Rattus norvegicus: one gene and its partners. The protein of the gene in region 1 purifies or fractionates together with the protein of each later gene. This does not show direct contact. Links are inferred from orthologs where the notes say so. Each region holds a gene or a part of one and is shown on either strand. Other genes may lie near its edges.

What was found.
Region 2: the proteins of Polr2b (region 1) and Ctdp1 purify together in Homo sapiens (affinity purification with mass spectrometry; 3 studies listed by BioGRID and IntAct, with this or other methods). This does not show direct contact. The link is inferred for Rattus norvegicus from reciprocal best matches to the Homo sapiens genes POLR2B and CTDP1.
Region 3: the proteins of Polr2b (region 1) and Ints6 purify together in Homo sapiens (affinity purification with mass spectrometry; 3 studies listed by BioGRID and IntAct, with this or other methods). This does not show direct contact. The link is inferred for Rattus norvegicus from reciprocal best matches to the Homo sapiens genes POLR2B and INTS6.
Region 4: the proteins of Polr2b (region 1) and Med26 purify together in Homo sapiens (affinity purification with mass spectrometry; 3 studies listed by BioGRID and IntAct, with this or other methods). This does not show direct contact. The link is inferred for Rattus norvegicus from reciprocal best matches to the Homo sapiens genes POLR2B and MED26.
Region 5: the proteins of Polr2b (region 1) and Dnaaf10 purify together in Homo sapiens (affinity purification with mass spectrometry; 3 studies listed by BioGRID and IntAct, with this or other methods). This does not show direct contact. The link is inferred for Rattus norvegicus from reciprocal best matches to the Homo sapiens genes POLR2B and DNAAF10.

Annotation. Positions count from the first base shown.
Region 1 is NC_086032.1:31,165,222-31,168,731, forward strand, and holds part of Polr2b (DNA-directed RNA polymerase II subunit RPB2), read right to left. Parts: intron 1,950-3,510; coding exon 1,795-1,949; intron 789-1,794; coding exon 590-788; intron 58-589; coding exon 1-57. UniProt on the Homo sapiens protein: Catalytic core component of RNA polymerase II (Pol II), a DNA-dependent RNA polymerase which synthesizes mRNA precursors and many functional non-coding RNAs using the four ribonucleoside triphosphates as substrates.
Region 2 is NC_086036.1:76,187,399-76,191,708, reverse strand, and holds the start of Ctdp1 (RNA polymerase II subunit A C-terminal domain phosphatase), read left to right. Parts: upstream 1-1,500; coding exon 1,501-1,814; intron 1,815-4,310. UniProt on the Homo sapiens protein: Processively dephosphorylates 'Ser-2' and 'Ser-5' of the heptad repeats YSPTSPS in the C-terminal domain of the largest RNA polymerase II subunit. This promotes the activity of RNA polymerase II.
Region 3 is NC_086033.1:41,175,305-41,179,597, forward strand, and holds the start of Ints6 (integrator complex subunit 6), read right to left. Parts: upstream 2,811-4,293; 5' UTR 2,586-2,810; coding exon 2,475-2,585; intron 2,159-2,474; coding exon 2,081-2,158; intron 1,267-2,080; coding exon 1,117-1,266; intron 1-1,116. UniProt on the Homo sapiens protein: Component of the integrator complex, a multiprotein complex that terminates RNA polymerase II (Pol II) transcription in the promoter-proximal region of genes.
Region 4 is NC_086034.1:17,332,571-17,336,579, reverse strand, and holds the start of Med26 (mediator of RNA polymerase II transcription subunit 26), read right to left. Parts: upstream 2,811-4,009; 5' UTR 2,543-2,810; coding exon 2,471-2,542; intron 2,447-2,470; exon of another isoform or gene 1-2,446. UniProt on the Homo sapiens protein: Component of the Mediator complex, a coactivator involved in the regulated transcription of nearly all RNA polymerase II-dependent genes.
Region 5 is NC_086032.1:95,819,016-95,823,081, reverse strand, and holds the start of Dnaaf10 (dynein axonemal assembly factor 10), read right to left. Parts: upstream 2,811-4,066; 5' UTR 2,769-2,810; coding exon 2,586-2,768; intron 2,052-2,585; exon of another isoform or gene 1,511-2,051; coding exon of another isoform or gene 1,400-1,510; intron 1-1,399. Other genes in the region: RNA-binding protein PNO1, read left to right, coding at 3,216-3,419, 3,541-3,690. UniProt on the Homo sapiens protein: Key assembly factor specifically required for the stability of axonemal dynein heavy chains in cytoplasm.

The DNA.
Region 1 (3,510 bases):
GATATAAACTCCCATAGCCTGCTTGCCCATAGCAGACTGGTACGTGTTTCTAGGGGACTAACGGGAGAAACAAAAAATAAAGACAATGAATTTCTCAGACAGGTAATAACCACTATGGCTTTCAACAAAAACAGGAGCAAGAAAACTGGTGGTGAATGGGAAATGCCCCCAAGTCGGCGATTTGAACCCTGGCTCCCAGGGAACAGTGCTGTTCCCAGAGGTTCAGGAAGTGTGGCCTTGCTAGTAGAAGCACATCACGGGGACCAGCTTTGAGTTTAGGGGCCATGCGCTATCCCCCACCCTGCTCTCTGCTTCATGCTTTGGGATAAGGATTACTGCTTACTATTCCCCTGCCTCTGCTCCTCCAGCATGGACTCTTATCTCCTCTGGAAGCAGAACCCAAAATAAACTTCTATCTTTAAGTTGCCTCTGGCCGTGGCATATTACCACAGGGACAGAAAAGTGACTAATACACAAGTCACACAGCGGAGTCTGTAGGTGCTCACACCCTGATGAGATGACATACTAATCCCTAGTACTGATTACTTCCCCGATTCTTTACAAATCACAAGACAGAACTACAACCAACCTGGTTATGATCAGGAAAAGGAATAATAGATGCACAGACGCCAAGAATCATTGATGGGTGAATCTCACAGTGGGTATAGGTGGAGCAATAAGCTACTTCTTTCTCCTGCAAATCATCTGGAGTCATTGCAAGCATCACGGTTTCTTCTTCCAGGGTATCAATATACTCTACTACCCCACTGGCTACCAGATCCTGCCAACTAAAAAGTTCACTCAGTGTCATGAAATAACTTAATACAAAGTCTACTGCTTTACAATTACTTCCATTTGTGTTTGTACTAACAAGGAAAGAATTCAGACATGACTGTTAATGTGAAAAGGCTGCCGGGCTATACACTATTAGGCTGCTATTCACCTTGTTTTAAACAGCTATACTTGTGGGCTCATAGTTACAAGAGCACTGGCTGCTCCTCCAGAGGTACTGAGTTCAATTCCCAGCATCCACATGGTGGCTCGGGGATAGGATCCGATACCCCCCTCTTCTGGTGTGTCTGAACACAGCTACAGTGTACTCACATACATGAAATAAATAATTCTTAAAAAAAAAAAACTATACTTGTGAAGTAAGGATGGAAAGTAGATAAAACAGAATAAGGTCTTGTAGAATACATATATCCACCCATTACTCATATTTACTTGTGAAAAGAACATTATGAAAAAATTATGACAAAACCAGCAAATATGAAGTGAGAATGCTCACTCTTTTACTACACGTTATTTTACAATATACTTATGATATTATTTAGAGTAAAATTTTAAAACAAGCTCATTTTTTCTAGCATATTTCTTATTTATGCCAGGAGTGGTAGCACACTATCTATATTCTTTGTACTCAGGAAGTTGAGGCAATAAGGATTTCACTGTGTGTTCCACATCAGCCTGGCCTATACGGCAAGAATGTTCCCCCCAAAATATATTAGTCCCATTATATGGACATGTTCCGCACCACACAGGTTATTTACCATTACATTTTAACACACCAAAGACTTTCACACCAATACAAATCACGCAAGTCCACTGTACAACTAATAACAAAAACCAGGAAGAATAAATATGGCCACAGATGGTAGCATTCCTCCCAGCACTGATACCGTAAACTGGGCAGTGACAGTGGCTGTACAACCTTGGGCTTACCCTGAAGACAAATGGCACACTTTCCATCACAGGTTTTGACTACACGTATTTTTCTCTCAGTCACCATCTTACCTGTAGTTGTTATATTCTCTCTCTTTCAACTGGTCAATGTGTCTCTTCTTCAAAAGAAGCTTTTGCTTTTCCACAATTAGAAGTGGTCTACAAATACGGCCTGCGTCTGTATAGATCCGAATCTCACGCTCGCGGATATCTCTGATCATAGAAACCTAGATAGAAAAGACAAAAAAAAAAAAAAAAAAAACCAATCTTACGATTTTCTTTTCTGGTATGATGATAATTCAGCTAAAAATACAAGTAGCTGGGCCTAGTAGGGTTCCCTATAATACCGTCATCCAGGAAGCTGACCAGAGAGGTCAGTTGATCCTAGGTTAACAGCAGCATAGGCAAATCAGTAAGACTGCGCTGGAGGTTGCCCAGCAGTTAGGACACTGACCACTACTGCAAAGGACTCAAGTTCAGGAACCCACATGGTGACTGACAACCATCTGTCACTCCAGGTCTAGAAGATGTGAAACCCCTTCTGGCCTCCACAGGCACCAGGCACACACATGGAGCACATACACACATTAAGGCAAACATTTACCATGTAAAATAAAAGGACACACACAGCTAAGCTGTGAAGGGCTCTAGCATGTGTGGGTCTCTAGGTTTGCTCTTCAACAGTGTACCCTTGCAAAAACAATTAATAATCTAAATAAAACTATTGCATTTAAGGTGACCCAAGCGTCAAATAAAATAGATACGCCAGGTACTGGTGGAGCATACCTTTAATCCCAGCACTCAGGAGGCAGAGGAAAGACAGATCTCTGAGTTCAAGACCAGCCTGAAGTACAGAGAGAGTTCTAGGACAGACAGGGAAACCCTGACACAGGGAGAAAACAAAAAAGCAAAAACAAAACCCTCAAAGCAAAAAGATAAATCTACCATAGTTAATCTATTATAAAAAGATGTAACTGTAAAACTCAGGAGTAGGAAAAAAATCTAACTTAATCTTAATTATTCCACTGAATAACATTAGAAGAGTATACAAGTCAAAGTGAAAATGAAGAAAACATTCTTCAGTACCACAAACACAAGTACATAAAATTTTCTTATTTTAGATTTGTATGTTTACTACTTCTTTTGGCTCTGTCCTTGTAGTACTGGAGAATGAACCCAGGGCCTGGCTTATGCTAGGCAAGTGCTCTACCACTGAGCTACAATCCCAATCCTTTAGTACAAACATTTCATCCTGGCTACCTTCCAGTAACCTCCCTAGTGGCTCTTCTTAAACAGGATCCCTCTATGTAGCTCTGTCTAGAACCTCTTTATGCAAAGCGGGCTGCCCTTAAACACACAGATCCATCATCCCGCCTCCAGAATACTGTGGTTTTTTTAAAAGACGTGTCGGGATACTGCTGTCTGGTCCATACTTTCCCATTTACTCCAAAGCCTGACTTTATCACCAAGCAGACAAATGGCTTAAAGTCCACCTAGAGCAGCTAGCTACCAGTCACAGGTGATTCCTGAGTACTTCAAATATGACCATTCTGAATTGAAATGAGCTACAAAAGTAAATTTCATGGATTCAAAAGATTCTAATAGGGGCTGGAGAGATGGCTTAGTGGTTAAGAGCACAGAATGCTCTTCCAGAGGTCCTGAGTTCAATTCCCAGCAACTATATGGTGGCTCACAACCATCTGTAATGGGATCTGATGCCCTCTTCTGGTGTGTCTGAAGACAGTGACAGTGTACTCACGTATATAAAATAAAATCTTTAAACACTCT
Region 2 (4,310 bases), on another chromosome or scaffold:
AATCCTTACTTGGTGTCTTTGGGATGGTTAGGGATAAAACACTAAGCCTGAACGCAACTGGGGAGGGAAAGGGTCTATTTTGCTTACACTTCCACATGGCTGCCTGTCTTAGTTAAGGTAACTATTGCTACACGTGTGCATATATAGGGTTAGAGTTGGTGAAACAGAAAGATTGGGGAGGGAAGGGTTTATTTGGCATATATATCCACATTTAATGAAGTCAGGACAGGAACCAGGGCCAGGAGCTGATGCAGAGGCCACGGAGGGTCTTGTTTACTGTCTTGTTTCTCCTGGCTAACTCAGTCGGCCATCTTAGAACTCAGGACCACCAGCCCAGGCGTGGCACCTGAGCCCTCTCCCTAGAAAACCAGGCACCTTGGACGCTATAGGCTACAGTTTAGGCAATTCATTGAAACAACCCGTAACAACAAAGGCCTGTTGGATTTGCAGAAGACGCAGTCACGAGTATACGCATCTTGATACAAACATGTTCACACCTCAGGTCATCCACTCAAGTTTTATGAGAATGCTATTTTAAAGGTTTCAGGAATTGCGAAATCCCCAGTCAGAGTGTCTCTTGGCTCCCATTTGTAGGCTTGATATGTGCATCAAGCAGGATCTGATGAGTAATTAGTGCACAGCAGCCCCAGGAGGAGCGAGCAGGCGAGGTGGACATCCTTAATCCACAGTCTAATGCTAGAAACTCCACTCTGAAAAGCGCCGCAGTTGCAAGCAGCCACTGCGCACACTTCTCTGCTGCGTAGCCGGCTAAAGAAGGATCGAGTCTAGGCCGCGACCTGCGCTGGAACTCGGTCTCGTTAAGTCCAGCATTCGCAGTGCTTGACGGGAGGATGAGCAAGACCCGGACCCAAAGTCTCCAGGCGTACGGACCGCTCTGCGGAGGGAGACCTATAGTTTCTCCATGAAAACCTCGCAGTGCACGACGGGAAAGGTGGGACCGAGTTTCGTGATGCATGCTGGGACTGGTAGTCTCTCTTGACGTCAGGACTACAATGTACTATCCAATACAGCGGTCCGCGCCGAATGCCGGCGTCAGAAGACTCCTGTGGTTGGAACTCGCAGTGTACGACGGGAGTTGCCATAGACACGCACTGTATGCCGGAACTGGTAGTCTTGATGCGTCAGGACTAGCAGTGTGTGACAAAAGTCTTGTGACAGCGGTCCGCGTGACATGGCTGTAGTCTCCATACCACGGACTGGCGCCCCGTAGGTGTGGACCAGCGCCTCTTGGCTCCGCGAGGGCCGAGTGTTTATCCTTATCTTGAGCGCACGCAGTCACGCGGATGCACGTCGCCTGTCCCGCCCTCCATGACGCAGCACGCCCCCCGGAAGTGGGTGCGCAGCGAGCGGCGGGTGAAGCCGGTGTCGGAGCGGGAACAGCAGTGTCGCCGCCGCCCGCGGTGGGCGCCGCGCCCTGAGCGCCCGGTGTTTTCGTTTCTCACCTCTGTTGTGACCGTCCGTGCCGCTCGCTGGGTCACGATGGAAGCGCCGCCCTTGGCCGGCGTTCCCACCGAGTGCACTCCGGCGGTGGCCGGGGCAGAGGTGCGCTGCCCGGGCCCCGCGCCGCTGCGTCTGCTGGAGTGGAAGGTGACGGCGGGCGCGACCGTGCGCATTGGCTCGGTGCTGGCAGTGTACGAAGCCGCAGTCTCCGCGCAGCCCGCAGGGCCAGCCCCGGCTCGCGCGGCCTCTGGGGGCTGCGTGCGCGCCTCGCGGACAGAGCGCAGGCTCAGGTCGGAGCGCGCCGGCGTGGTCCGTGAACTGTGTGCGCAGCCAGGCCAGGTGGTGGCCCCTGGGTGAGTGTACTGAGAAAAGGGACACCCGGGCTCTCAGGATGTCGGGGGTGTGGGGTGGATTTCTGGCTACAGTCACAGACTGGGCGTGAAAGCTACGCTAAGGGGCTGCGGGGTGAGACCATAGAAAGAATTGTCACCATTAGTGATTTTGCCAGCCCTGAGATATTTTGAGTTTGAAAACTTCTCGGTGACCCAAGGTTACTACTCCCTTTGGGATATCTTTTGCCTTCGTCCCTCTTCTGTAATTGGTGGACTCCACCTTTGTAAAGTGAAGGCAACTTGGGTGGCTGTGGCCGCGGGACTACTCAGGCAGGTTCCAGGCTCGTTACAGAAATAGAAGCTGTCGGGCGTGTGTGTTTCTACAAACGCTTATAAAACTTTGTGAAACGCCGTTGTAAAAACCCGGTGGTTCTGCAACATAGCCACCGAGAGGGCAGAACCCAGACTGTATCGGGTGATGTACTTGGTCCTCGAAGTCCTGTGAGGACTCTTTAGTTGTCAAACTTGTGTCCTGTCTCTGTAGGATCTTGGTTTGGTTCGGTTCGATCTGCCACTGTCCAGTTTTATGTTCGAGTTTTGCCAGGGTTGTGTTTTGAACCTAAATTAACACGTGGGCATGTGGGTCACGTGGCTGTGATTGTTTTGATTGCTAAGAACAAAAACTACTGGGAGAAGTGAATGCTCCTGCCTACTGTGGGTTGGGCTGAGAACTTCTCTTTGAAGACTATTCTTTCTGCTCCTTTTCTGATGCCCACTGCTCACTTCTTGGACTGGTCAAGTCTCTTCTTTATTGAGTATTTCCTGTCTAGCATTCTCCACAAGGAAAATTTCTATTTTCCACTGATCTTGTCATAGACCGAGAACCCCGCCTGGCTGTCTTCCTGGTCAACTCCCCCTAGTGCTTCTTGGAGATACTGCCTGGGTTCTTGGTTTGTGGACCCTATCCGTACCCCTGCCCACTGGTTTGCTGGATTGCACAACCACCAGGAAAACTTGCTTCTTTGGGACTGACTCTGAGGGACCTGTCTGTCTGGCTTCCTCTGGAAGTGATTCTTGGGATCCTGGGTGACTCACAGTGGCTACCAGTCCAGTGGTGTCAAGTGAGTTCCTGCTTCTGGGACAGTCACTAGCAGCATCACTTTATTTAAAATGCTTCCCTCCCTTTTCCTGTTATGTGCATTTGTGGACAGCATCTTGTCAGCATTCTGGGGAGGAGTGTAGTGAGTTGACATGTGTGCTTCCTGTACTGTTCCTGTATACCTGAAGGTACGTGGGTGACAGGAAGAAGCAAGTTCCAAGGCCTGGACTTAGCTCCATTTGTATTCCCTGTGTCAGTCCTGATAGTTTCTCTGTAATAAATGTCAAGGGCGTTCATAGGTGTCTGGGCGTGGACCCAGGGCTCATAAGAAGGGTAGTACTTTCTTCCCCAGCCACTGGCTCTTCCGGACACCAATTAGGCCTCCCCCAAAATGCCTGTCATACTTTTGCGGAACAAAGTTTAAAAAGAAATCACTGGATTGAGTCACTTTGTACAAAGATCACCATGCACAGAATTGTCTTCACAAGGCACAGCCTGAAGAGCAGCATCCCACTGAGCAGATCTGTGCAGGGCAGGCAGCGGTCGGTCAACAGAGTTCATCATCCATGGTCCCTACAGGCTTTCTGTAGCACACAGTTACACCTAAGTAGGCCTTTCCCCCACAACTTCGCTATACAGGCCAAGTGTCCTTGATCTTACATTCAAAATCTAAAATATTCCAAGGTCTAAAACTAGGGCATAGATGCTCTTGTGTTTTCTAGTGCTTGGCATGTGAGTCCTGTGCAAACACGCCACACTCCAAATAGTCCTGAAACAGCAGCACTTCTGGTCTCCAGCATTTCGAATGAGGGATTTGAATATTAGGAAGTCTTTCTAAAAGGCATCCGTATGTCTCTATTTGAGAAAACAGAGAGTAGTAGATACCATTGGATCCTGGTGTTGAATTGGACTTGCCATGACTGGTAGACCTTGGTCAGCAAAGACCCGTCTGGCTCATACACACCGCGTACGCTGAGCCAAAGCCTTCCGTTTTTAGATTTCTGTGTCTGGCTTTGGTGCAGCCTCATCCAGCATCTGTTCCATCACAGAACTTCTTCACCCCAGGTGGGGGCAGGAAGGGAGGGTGTCAGGAAGGAGCAACCAAGCCTGATAGCCCTAGAAGTTTGCTTCTTTCTGAGCATGTCTCAGAATCACACTCAAGACTACTTTATAATGAACTCATCTGAGCAGTCCTGGAAGTTTGCTCATGATCTAAGTTCTGTTCGTCTAGCAGCACCACTTCTGTCAGTGCTGGATTGCAGATTCATATTCTTAACATCACATGGGAGAGCCAACATTTACTGACATTTGCATTAAACCTTTGTAGAGTGATTATTGTATGGTGGTTCTTAACCTCCACCCACAACATGCACTTTATATAGACTTATGATTGGTGGATTCAGAACTGTTTTGAGGAG
Region 3 (4,293 bases), on another chromosome or scaffold:
AAGACAACAGCACTACATATAACAAAGGAAAAAAATGCTTTTACAGAAACTGACCAACAAGTGGCAAGAATTATAAAATAAAGCAACAAAAAAATGTGTTACTATAGTTACCTAAATGATGGAAATGATTTTCAGATAAGCCTGATTTGTAATGCATACTTTAAATGCTATAAGGACTAAATTCAACTAGTTTTTAAAGATGTTTAAGAATTATTCCCAATTGAGGCATATAGCTTGAAGTCACTGGAAATTTTCCTTAACATGTTCAAAATTCATGAGAACTGTGCATTATGGAACTTGGGAAAAGTGTATAACATATATTCCTAAATATAGCATTATGGTAATAGTGCTTTGCATACTGAAATCCTTGGGTGTGATATTACTCCTTGTGTACACCACTGCATATTCTTTGGTTATCTTGTATTTCTAGGACAGCAATATCATAAAAGTTATCGACATTGTGGTGAATGACTGTTGTGACTTGAAGCTCTTGCCCTATCCTCAACAGATGAAAAAAAGGACTTATGGGGAGCTTCAGGAAAACAGGCAGGCTTTCAGGTTCTCCAGGAAACATCTTCCCACAGTCTTGGAATTTTAAACTTTAGAAATTAAGAATCTGCCATTTATTTTCAGCTTCATAATGAATGTAGTCAACCAGTTACTGCACTCTATGGTAAAACCTTGCCTTTCTGAGTACACCGTCTAGGCTAAACTAAACCCTCGGCTAACAATCATTTTGCCCAACATCTCTATAATACAGAGGCAATACTGGCTGTGACCTATTCAATAGTTACATATGTGCCTACAAGAAATTTCAGACCAGCACACTGAGACAGGACATCTTCCGTTGTGTGTCTTTTATGAACTTTGAGGGACTGAAACCAAATTTGTGTCAACTTTCTAGCCAAGAATTCAGGTTTGAATTCTGAATGCAGATACATTTAAAGGGGGACTGGGGATGTAAGACCATACACCTTAGGTGTTTTGAACTGTGTGCACTGTTTTTCAACCTCGAATGTTTTATACTTGCATTCCAGGTTACATACTTTTGGACTGGTTTGTGGTTTTGTACACATAAATAAAAACAACTCTTTTCTACCTTAGTATTCAACCTACCTGCCCATAGTTGTCTATGCCAGTTACTAATCTATTTAAATTTAACAAATCAAAAGCTGTCCTTAGGGATTGGCCAAGAGTCGTAAGTCCTTCTGCCTGAAGGTTTTTCAGTTCATTCATAAACGTTGCATGGTTTTCTTTCCATCCAGCCTGAAAAGAAAGATGTAAGATTTTTTTTTATCAGTTGAAGCCATGTACACACATGGACACCGATTATAATGTGATGTCCACTAAGCAGGTATTCCATTTTGGGTTTGTATATTTAACTTCATTTTTGCTTGATACAGTTTGGGGAATGTGTTATAACTGTTGTCTCTGGTGAGGAAACTCTTCCAAAGGTGGCCAAGAATCAATCTGCTCGCCCCTACACCTTTTGTTAAGTAACAACCGTCTTAATACTTTAATAACTTCAACTGGGAAATTTGCTAATATAACATCCTCCAAATTGTGTGTAAGGGGTGGGTGTTTCGAAGGTGCTAGTGGAAGGCAGATGGCAGCAGGACTTCTTAAGTTGACCACAGCTGTCCCACCGATCTGTGGCCTTCCTAGTTCCACTCAGTGATGACCAAGTCTCGAAGCCCCCTTCCTGGCTTCCCTGCCAGCTTGGCTGATTCCCTTTTAATGCAAAACCGGGCAAGGCAAGGCTGGGCCCCGCTGTCACTCGGGCTAACTTGAATAAATATCCCCCACAGTTCATTGCTGCCGCTCACGCCGCGGAGGGGAAATGTCGGCCATGTTGATCGTAGCGCCTCCGCCGCCAGGCCGAGCTGGACCCGGAGGGGACGGCGGTGGGCCAGAAACTGCCACCGCGCTGGCGCTCCCGAGCTGGGGAGGGGCGGGAGGCCGCGGGGAAGGGACCTGGAGGCGGGAGCGGCGGTGGGGGAGGGGAGCATAATGAAGAGGGGGCGGGGAGGGCGAGCTAGGAAGGAGCAGGGAAGGGAGGGGGGAGGGCGAGGGCTGTTACCTTGATAGCATAGGGCGGCTCTTCGAAAGTGACCAGCATATACCTGTCTCCTCTGCTGGCAGGGTCCCGGGCACGGAGCTGCGGGCCAGGGTGGGGACAGGCGGGAGAGAGGGAAGCACAGAGGCGAGGTTACCAGTCACAGAAGGGTCGCTGGCCGCCCCCACAGTACCGCACACGCAGGGCCGTCCCTCCGCCGCCCCCCGCACCCACAGCAGCCCCACATGGGCCAGGCCCAGCAGAGCCCGCTCCCAGCGCCCGCCCGCCCGCCCGCCCGCCAGCGCGGTGGGGGAGGGGTCCCCGCGCCCGCGGAGCCCGCAGTAAACCCGCTGCCCCCCGCCCTGCCCCCCGCGGGCCACCGGGTCGGGGTCGCCACCCGGGCTCGGTCAGTCGGTACCTTCATGAAGGTCTCTACCGCGCCTTTGGCCGTGTCCAGGTAGGTGGTGCCCAGATGGCTGCGCTGGTTCATAGAGGCAGACGTGTCTATCAGGAACAGTAAGATGGGCATAGTGCTGGCCGGGGACACCGGGGCCCGAGGTGGTGAAGAGATGGCAGAGGTGGAGGCACCAGCGGCGGCGGCAACCGCCGATATGCGGGGCGGGGAACGCGGCCCCCGGGAGGAAAACACCGGCTATGGGGAGTTTCTCCCCCGATAGTTGAGAGGAAACTCCCCAGCCCAGGTCCACCCGGCCGTACCCCCGCCTCCGGCCTGCCTGCCCGCTGGGGCGGCCGCGCGGCCGTCTGTCCGTCCGTCCCCCCCGGCCTGGGGGTCCCGTCCCCACTCCCGGCCCCTGTGTGTGTCCCCGCGGGAGACGGGCCCAGTTCCCCACCCCACCCCCAGTGCAGGGAGTGGGGACCAGGGATCTGGCGAACAGGGGAGTGGGCTGAGGGGAGATTGGCCCTGGGGCTGTTGAGAGAAGTTTGAGAGACTCCCTCCGCACCCCAGCGGTGTCACCACTTTCTCAGCCCCTCTCGCTACTGAAGCGCTTTTCTCTCTCACACTCCGGTTTTAACTCGGGCAGGGGCTACGTAGGCTCCGCCCCTGACACGTACTCGAGTCATGTGATCCAGAGACCCTCTGCCCTATTGGCTGGTCCTTACAGCCTCATTAGCATATTCAAACAGCTCAGGGGCGGGGGAAGCCTGCAGGCCGACTGAGAGGACAGTTATTGAGCACGCGCAGAGGCGGGGCAGCGGGTGCACGCTGGAACCAGCGCAAGGGGAGGCGGACGGCCCGAGGCCCGCAGCCGGGAGGCGGGCTCCGGGAAGGGGCGGGGACAGGCCGCGGAAGCACCGCGGGTTGGGCCGGGGACTGCGTCAGCGCGCGTAGGGCGGCAGCGGGCTGTAGGCGTGTGTGTCAGGGCGTCCGGCCTTTTGGCTGTGCACCGTGACAGGGTCGGGAGAAGGGAAGTGGAAGCCGCCCCCAACCTGTGGGTGAGGGCTCTGTGTCGTGATTAAGAGTGCAGGGCCGAGAAGGGTGAACTGACGAAGGATACGGGACCGCGCAGGCCCACGCGGCGGCAGCAGGCCGGGCCTTGGGGCGGCCCAGGGGGAGGGGAAGTGAGAGGTTGTTTATGACCTGGTATTAATCCCGGCCAGTCATTCGGCTCCGGCTCTAGCTGGTCAGAGGATCCACCGAAGAGGAAGCCAGCCCTGCAAACACGAAGCGGAACTCAAATGTAGACTAGTAAAGCAACTGTCCTCTCCAACCTAGTTCCGTCTTCAAATTGTTAAGGCACTAACTAGACTATATTAAGAAATAAAAGGGGCTTTCCAAACCCCAATCCACTGCCCTCGTTTTAAAAGTGAAAAGGGATGACCACGTTTCGCAGGTGACCCAGAGAATGGATAGGTTCCTGGGAAACCCGCCTCTCAGTCTTTGCCAGTATTGTGTCGGAAAACATTCTCAGCCCGTCACGTTACCTAAAGTCTTCAATCTGCACCTGCAAGTCTGGAGATTTGTTCTCATATGAAGTTGGGGAACTGCAAGACCCGCTGCCTAAAATATGAATTGAATTTGGAACATTGAGACCTTTTTAAGACTAGGTATTTGAAGGGCCTCTCCCGTTGGCTCTGCATTTCCGGATTTTCTCTACGCTGAAATTCTGTCCTGCTAGGCATCTGAAGTGACATGCTTGTGGCACGTTTTAAAAATCAGGCTTTGTTGTTTGGGCTTTTCCTAATATTTCAAAAACAAAAAAGCCTCCGAATATTTT
Region 4 (4,009 bases), on another chromosome or scaffold:
TCTTCAACTCTGTCCCCGTTTTGTATTTTTTCCATGAACATCCTAAATATGTGTCAATTACCAAGTGGTGGAGCTCATAACTGGGCAGATCAGAGCAAGAGCAGAGATCCCTGCACCAACATGCGGCTCTTACCTGGGCCCTGAACAATCACAGAGACAATGCAAATGGCCGGGCACCCCTCAGCAAGAAATGGAGGACAGTGCTCCAGGCTGATTCTACAAAGAGATTCTGCAAAGCTAGCCCCTAGAACATATACCTAGTTGTTTTTGTGGATAGTCACTGACACATTGCATCTAGGGAAACACTCCCCTCCTCACTCAGAGATAAGTTCTCAACTCCAGCCACAACAAGGTCTCCTATCACTACAGCCCTTTGAGATACACACTCCAAGCAACTTACTCACAGGCCAATGAGCACTTAGGACCAAGGGAAGATTCAAGAAACTAAAGTTGGAGGCCAAGCATGGTGGCACATACCTTTAATCCCAGCATTTGGGATTAAAGCAGGTAAAAGCAGACAGGTTCTGTGAGGACACCCTGGTTTACATACATAGTGACTTCCAGAGACAGTCTCAGAAAAAAGACACAAACTAAAATTTGGGCCCTCTATCTTCCTTCTTCTATCCCCAAAGGGTCTTTTAGTCAGACCCTTACCTAGCACTTGGACCCCACCTGATCTACAACATCATGACTACCTGTCAAAGCACTTGCTGATCCCAACACTCTCACATGCAAGCAGTCAGGATCTCTGAGAAGATCTCAGCAAGGAGTTACACAGGTGTAAGATTTACAATGTGGAAGAGAGGAGCAGTGATAGTGCAAGCATTTAATCCCAGCACTCAGAAGGAAAAGGCAGGAGAATCTCTGAGGCCAGCAGCATGGTCAAAGAGCAAGTTCTAGGATAGCCAGACCTACACAGAAGAGGAACCCTTCTCGAAAAACAACATCAAAAAGATTACACTATACACTATAGCTTCAGCAAAGATGCAAAAGCCATCAAGGCTATGTTTTCCTATCACTTATTTTTACCTTTTAATATCCTAATATATCAATCATGTGATTAGTCAGCTATTACCAATCACTGGCAAAAAACAAAACAAAACAAAAAACCCTTAAACCCGCCCCCCAAAAAAGAAAGGTTTTCTAGAAGATTTTTATCTAGCCTGTCTCTATTCCACCACAAAAAAAAAAAAAAAGTCTACAATATTTACTAAATTACTATCGACGTGATCCTAAAGACTAGGAAGAGAATAATTTTGAATCTGGCAAGTAGATTCTCATAGAAACTAGAACATCTCTATTTCTACCAAGACCACACAAACAATGTGAATTATTCTGAACACACAATACAGCACATTGCTACAAGTAACTAGCCAAGCATAGGCAAGGGAACCCAAAAAGGTTCAAACCTCTGTTACCTGGTCCAAGATGATTTTTTTTCTTCCATCCTGGGCATATTAAAAAGTGATCTCAAAAGCCACTTCCTGGTTTCCCAGCAAACACTTCATATCTGAATGCCTGTGCATCTTCCCATGGCCCTACTCCTGACAGCAACAAGGACACCCGCCCCCTGCACTGCCAACAAACCTTTGGAAAAAATACAAGAACAAGTAAAATTAGTCTACACTCACACAGGAAGAAAAAAGGCGTCCTACTGCTCACAGGACTCTTGACAGAGGAAAGTGTGATCCCTTACAATTAAATCTTGACAGCCTAGAGTCCAAAGCACCTCAGGTGGAGCAAGAGAGATGGAAAGAGGACCGGAAGATAGGGATAAGAGAACAATCTACTGTGATCGGCAGTATTTCAGTACTAAAATCCCAGGCTTTAGCTACTGGTCAGACGCGCAATGGAGCATTTAGGCCAAGAGAGGTGACAGGAAGGGTCCCACTCTCTGCAGAGTCGTCTTTTCTAGGAAGCGACCCACTATCAGAAGAGAGGATACTCTCCAGGCATCACAGGAAGACAGACTGATGGCAGAACAGGCCTAGGGTTCCCTACGAATCCAAGAAGGGGATTCGCTAGAAGACCGAGGGGGAGTAAAGGCCAAGACTCCAGAGACGCGGGCTACCCGAGTCATCGCGGAGACACCAGTTGCTTTCTACCTTGTCCCCCGGCAGGGAGACCTTTCCGGGGGGTTCTCAGTTCCCGGGGTTGGGGTGAGGCAAGAAGGGCACGGTGGGGAGCACCAAGGGCAGCCGGGCTGGGACAACCGAGGAGAACCAGCTCTCATCAAAGCTCCGAACGATCCCTCAGTCCAGGCCGCGTGAAGCCTCGGCCTCAGGTACCCTCAGCTGCCGGGGTACCCGCCTTGCCTTCGGCCTCCGGACCCAGGAGAACGAGACACCGAGATGGCAGCGGCCGTGGCGGGCAGATCACCGCCCGGAGAGAACCCCTGGCAGGGGCGCGTCGGAGGGGGAGGGTCCCGACACATGCGGCCTCGGTCCCCGATCGCGCGGCAGTCACTTACGTTGCTCTGGGAGTCGATGGCCTGTAGCAGCCGGTCCCTCATCTGCTGCGGAGACGCCGGAGCCGCTGTCATTGCCTGGGCGAAGCGGGGGGGAGCGGCCGGGCCGGCGGGCGGGCAGGCTGAGGAGGGGGGACGCAGGTCAGTCACTCGCCGGCCTCCGGGAACGGAGCCGCATGTTCCCCGCGGCGCCAGAGGAGGTCGAGGCGCTCGGGGAGATGGCGGAGGACGGAGGAAAGCGGAGGGGACCGGAGCTCAGGCCCCGGACCGCCGCCGCCACCGCCGAGCAAGGAGGAGGAGGAGCCGACGGAGAAGCCTCCGCCACTACCGCCGCCGCCGCCGCCTCGAGAACCAAACTCCAGTGAGCTGCCCCCGCGCTGAGCACTCTGGGTAACCCGCGCCGCACGCAGCGTCGGCGCCACGCTGAGGAGGTTGGGAGATGGGGGCGGGTGGAGACGCCGGGTTTGGGAGGGGCCGGCTTGTGAGCCCCGCCCATTGATTCTGCGCACGCGCACGCATGCGCACTTATCAGGTCCTGCCGCCGGGTTCTAAGGCCGGATCCAGAGAGCCGTTGGGAGACGGTTGGGCGTGGCAACGGACGCTATCCGAAGGTCACGCCCACTCCGGACTAGGGGGCGGGGCTTCCTAACGGAAGCTCACATGCCAAGTCCTGGAACACCGGCTCTTCCTGCTAACTGCTTTGGGGTTGCGGAATGGTAAGACCCTCCACCGGATGAGGACCTCTAGCTTTGAGGAATCAGAGGATTGGAGCGGCCATAGGGACACTAAGAAGGGCAGCGGTTGTCTGCGTTGAGACCCGTGCGGCGAGTAGCTCGGAGAATCTAGGCGCAGCCGTCGCCGCTGCAGAGGCCCCAGGCGCGGATCTGCAGGGCAGTGAGTGTCCCCATGTGACCCGCGCGCTGCTGGGACCTAAGGGCACGTATGGGAGCTGCCGCCTCCGCCGAGGGCTCGAGTCTGCAAGGCATGCGCGACGCTGACACCTTGGCTGTGCATCCACGAGGGGCTGGAACTCAAGAAGAAGCACCGCTCTTTTTTTTTTTTTTTTAATTCTTTTTTTCGGAGCTGGGGACCGAACCCAGGGCCTTGCGTTGAAGCACCGCTCTTGTAGCCCTCCTGAGAGGCGAACTGGAGGTGGCCAGTCTTTGTCTGCACAACAGGATGCGGAACCATCGCTCAGCATCGTCCCCTCCGCATTCGGAGCGGACGGAACGATCCCTGCTTTGCACCCCAGCCACTGGAAAACAGGAACGCCTCACCGAGGAGGAAGGGAAGCGCCAAGGTCACCGTGAGTTTTAGGTCAAACCAAGAAACGAAGGATATCAAGTATAAGGGCTGTGGTCTCCGGCAGGTGGAGTGGGAGGGCGGGCTCCGAGTTTAGCGCACTGTATTACAGTGGCTTCGGGAGAAATAACTTTCGTTTTGTGTCGTAACCTTAAAAATCCAGACATGAAACGGAAGGGAAACAGGTAATGAAAATCACATGTACTCCTGAGAGCTGCGGGACACCTGTTAATTTTAATT
Region 5 (4,066 bases), about 65 Mb from region 1:
AGTCTTGATGCAATTCATCATAACAAAATGAGTATGCCTCCTAAAATTTAGGTAAGTAATCTACCTGGTCCAAAAGTTCTCAACTCTGGCACTCACCAAAATCAACTAGCAGAAGGTCGCATTTCTAATAAGCAAGGCATGGGTATTTTAAATCTTGTACACAGCCATGATTAGCAACCAAACACAGAAATAAACTTTGATGCAGTGAGAACCACTGACTGTATTTAACCTGCACGCTTTTCTGCTGCAGCGCAAACGAATACAACATTAAGTTCTGAAAGTTGCTTTGTTTCTAACGTGTTCCTTAGAAATGTTCTTTTTTAGCCCAGTACCTCTAATGGCAGCCTCAGTAATTACTAGTGGAGTGAAAAGGAAGCAAAACATCAAAGTCGTCATTCTTGTGGTTCAGGTTAGGTATGACAATTTCTTATCCCTAGTTATATTTCCTAAACGTTCTCTCATAAACACATATTACTTTCACTAAAAATGAATAAATAAATAAGACTTTGCTAGCATTCTTCAGAAATTAGAAGAGATAAACACTATTTCACTTCGAATAACTTATTACTAAACTATATAAAAAAAATTGTAATTCTTGGGAAAGCAAAACACAAGCCTGTAAATGCTTTCTGGCTGAGGGCTGACTGGCCCTCACTTTAAGGCTTCTCTTATGCCAATGCTTCCTTGTTCAGAGTCCTTACCAGAAACACTGATTGGCAATCCCTACACCAGTATTTAAAACTGGGTCTCAGGTTCATTCAGTCTTCATTCTTTGAATGAATGTGTACTGAGAGACTGGTCTTTACAAAGCACAGGAGAAGGCACTGCTTTCTGGCTTATGCGGCAGACTGTTTATTTCTGCCACAGACAGTCAGTATTATAGGAGTGGAATGTACTGAAAGGTTCCTTGAGCAGAGATCAGATAATCCGAACTGGCCCCTGGACTGGCAAGAGTTGACTGCGCGTTAAGCAGTGAGGAACACAAGGCAAGGCGGGAAGCATCAAACCATGTTTAGAATCTCCAAGTCCAATGCCTGGCTATAGAGTTGGAACTAAACCAGAAAACAGGCTCTCAGCAAAGCTCAGGGAAGGAACACATAGCTTGCCATGCAAGTTTATTTATCTCCTACTTGCCCTAGTTTCTTATCAACTCTCAGCACCTCAACAACAAACTGTTATCTGTTTCAGTCAACCCAAATAGAAACATTCTGAAAACCTTAAGGAACTATAAAATTGTTCCTTAGCCACAACTCAGCACTGTGGCTCCAGGCCTGAATCCCAGCCCCCTGAGAAGCTGGTTTAACAGTTTGAGGCCAACTGGATAACAGAAAACACCCATCTCGGAAAGAAAGGAAAGAAAGAGTTTTAAAGCGTGAACAGTGTGGGCTGAAGACACAACCTGGTGATTAAGAGCAGAATGGCCCGCAAGGTAACTCACAACCACCGGAACTCCATTCCAGCGCATCCAATACCTTCTTACGGCCTCCTGGGACACCAGGTGCACTTGCATATGGTACACACAGATACATGCAGGGAAAAAAAAAAACAAAAAACATGTACAGGAAAGGGAAGGAGAAAGGAGGGGAGGAGAGGGGAAGGAAGGGGGAAAATGTCAATTACTGTCACCATTCTGTAATTGGCTACCTGGCAGCCTTTTACAAAACCTGTAATCTGGTCATTCATTATCCTCCTAAAAGTTCTTCAGTGGTGTCCTGCTTTTCTTAAAGAAAAAAAAAGGACAAATCTGTTAAATGTCTTACAGATCTTGCAATGGTCCCTACTTACCCCTTTTATATGTGTATGGTAATTTTTTTTTAACAGGGGTTGTGATCGCTGCAAACAGGGTCTCAAACTGAAATTCTCTTGCTTCTACCCCCGAACGCTGCGATTAAAGTTGTGCAATACCACTTCCAGCTTGGGTTTTTGTTTTTTAAAAGATAACGATCTTCCACCACTATCTCATGTTGTTTCTTCTGGAAACGTCATATTCTACTCTGCATTTGCCTTAGTTGCTTACTACTCATCCTAAATCTGTTTTTACTTTCACAGACCTGTGTATTAGAAAACTCATCTTGATTTACATTATGCATCCTTGGTCTGGCTGTTTGACTGTCTCCCCCAACAGAAAATAAATTCCGTAAGATCGTTGGCATTGCAATTCCCATGTCTGGGCCTTACCAGGCATTGAACTGACACTTTGTGAAAGAATGGGGTATTTACTAGTCTTCACCAACTTCGTGGTAGGTCTCCTGCTGGTGCCTCATTTGGTTCTGCTGGCATGGCACGTGGGTTTATTACATAGACCTACTAGTAGACTACAACAATTGCCAACAGCCTAAATGGTCCTCGAACGTTGCCAAGCAATGTCCACTTGGCTTCCCAGAAACCCTGCAATCGACTGCACCGAGAATGGCGAGAGGCAGAGGCTGGCAGTGAGCCGAGGTACTAGCTCTGCAAGGAGATTTTGGGATGTTAAAGTTTTAACTCTGAAGTATTCCTCAATCTGTAATCTCCTTTCTGTTTCTGCTGTGGCAAAGAGAGATGCAGACCCACGCAAACCCAAACAGATCCAAGCCTGCACCCACCTCCCGCAGCAGCTTTAGGTCCCCGCGCTGGATCTCGTACACCTGGATAACGCCGGTGCCCCGGGCGAAGTTGCCCATCGTCACGAATTTGGCACTGCAGGGCACCCATTTGCAGTCGAACACTGTATAGTTGAGGCCCTTTTGAATATGGACAATGATCTGAGGCTTCTCGAAGGTGGACATGGTGCAGAAGCAGCCAAACGCTAACCTGGTAACCAAACTGCAAACATCTCAGGGGCAGTTTGTCCCTCCCTAGCCGCACTCAACCCGGACGCCTTAGCAAGCTGGGCTTGGCTGCCTCCGAAAATGCCGGGTGAGCTGCTGAGACCGCACCAGATACTTCTCCACACACGGCACAAGCTGATTTACCGCCTTTACCACAACGTTTTCACATAGACACATTAGAGAATGTGAATGCTTTGGCTGCGAGCGCGAGACGGCACGGAGACATTAGCAAACAGGCATATTCTAGGGCAGCCATTCCGAACCGCGGACCAATCCTGCCCTAGGCCCCCCGCATGGACCCCGCCTCGGAAAAGGGGCGGAGCCTTCAAATTGATTGGTGGAGGCTGGCGCATGCGCGGCACAACCTCGCACGTGTTCCAGTGGTTGCACTTATCCGGGTTGAACATGGCCGAGATGGAGACGCAAAACACCGGGACGGAGGACGGCTTTACTCCCGTCACGCACAGAGGGGGCCGCCGGGCGAAGAAGCGACAGGCTGAGCAATCGTCAGCGGCGGGACAGGATGGAGACGCTGGACGCATGGACACGGAGGAGGCGCGGCCGGCGAAGAGGCCGGTCTTCCCGCCGCTCTCGGGAGATCAGCTCCTGGTGGGGATCCGGATGGGACGGGGCGGGGCCCAGGCAGACGAAAGGGTCTATTCTCGGTTTTCACCTTTCCAGCCCGCATCTCTCCACTCGCCTTCTGAGTGTGTGTTTGTTTTTATTGCAGACTGGGAAAGAAGAAACGAGAAAAATTCCCGTCCCAGCTAACAGATACACACCATTAAAAGAAAACTGGATGAAGATATTTACCCCGATTGTTGAACATTTAGGACTTCAGATACGCTTTAACCTGAAATCAAGGAATGTAGAAATAAGGGTAAGGAAAAGGGCTTATCCTTTTTAACCTACCGAATTTTCCCCTTCAAAACTAAAATAAATGAGTGCATTTTTTTCCTTCGTAGAGTTATTCTGTTAAGCGTCCCCCAACCCCCGTTTTACTATAGTGAATTTCAAATTAACTAAATACCCTCAAAACTACATTCAAAACAGGTGTTGACTGCATTCCTAAATCGCTTGTAAGATCACTCCTGAATATTGTGTATCCTTTTGAGTGTCTTCTCTGTGTTGACTTGATAAAAGTAGAGAATGGTCCACGGATGTACATCAGTAAGGGGTTAACTGCAGGTACCTACTTCAGTGTAAGTGCTCTTTTTGGAGCAAACGTGTGTCACAGGGAAAATGTAAATTAAGTC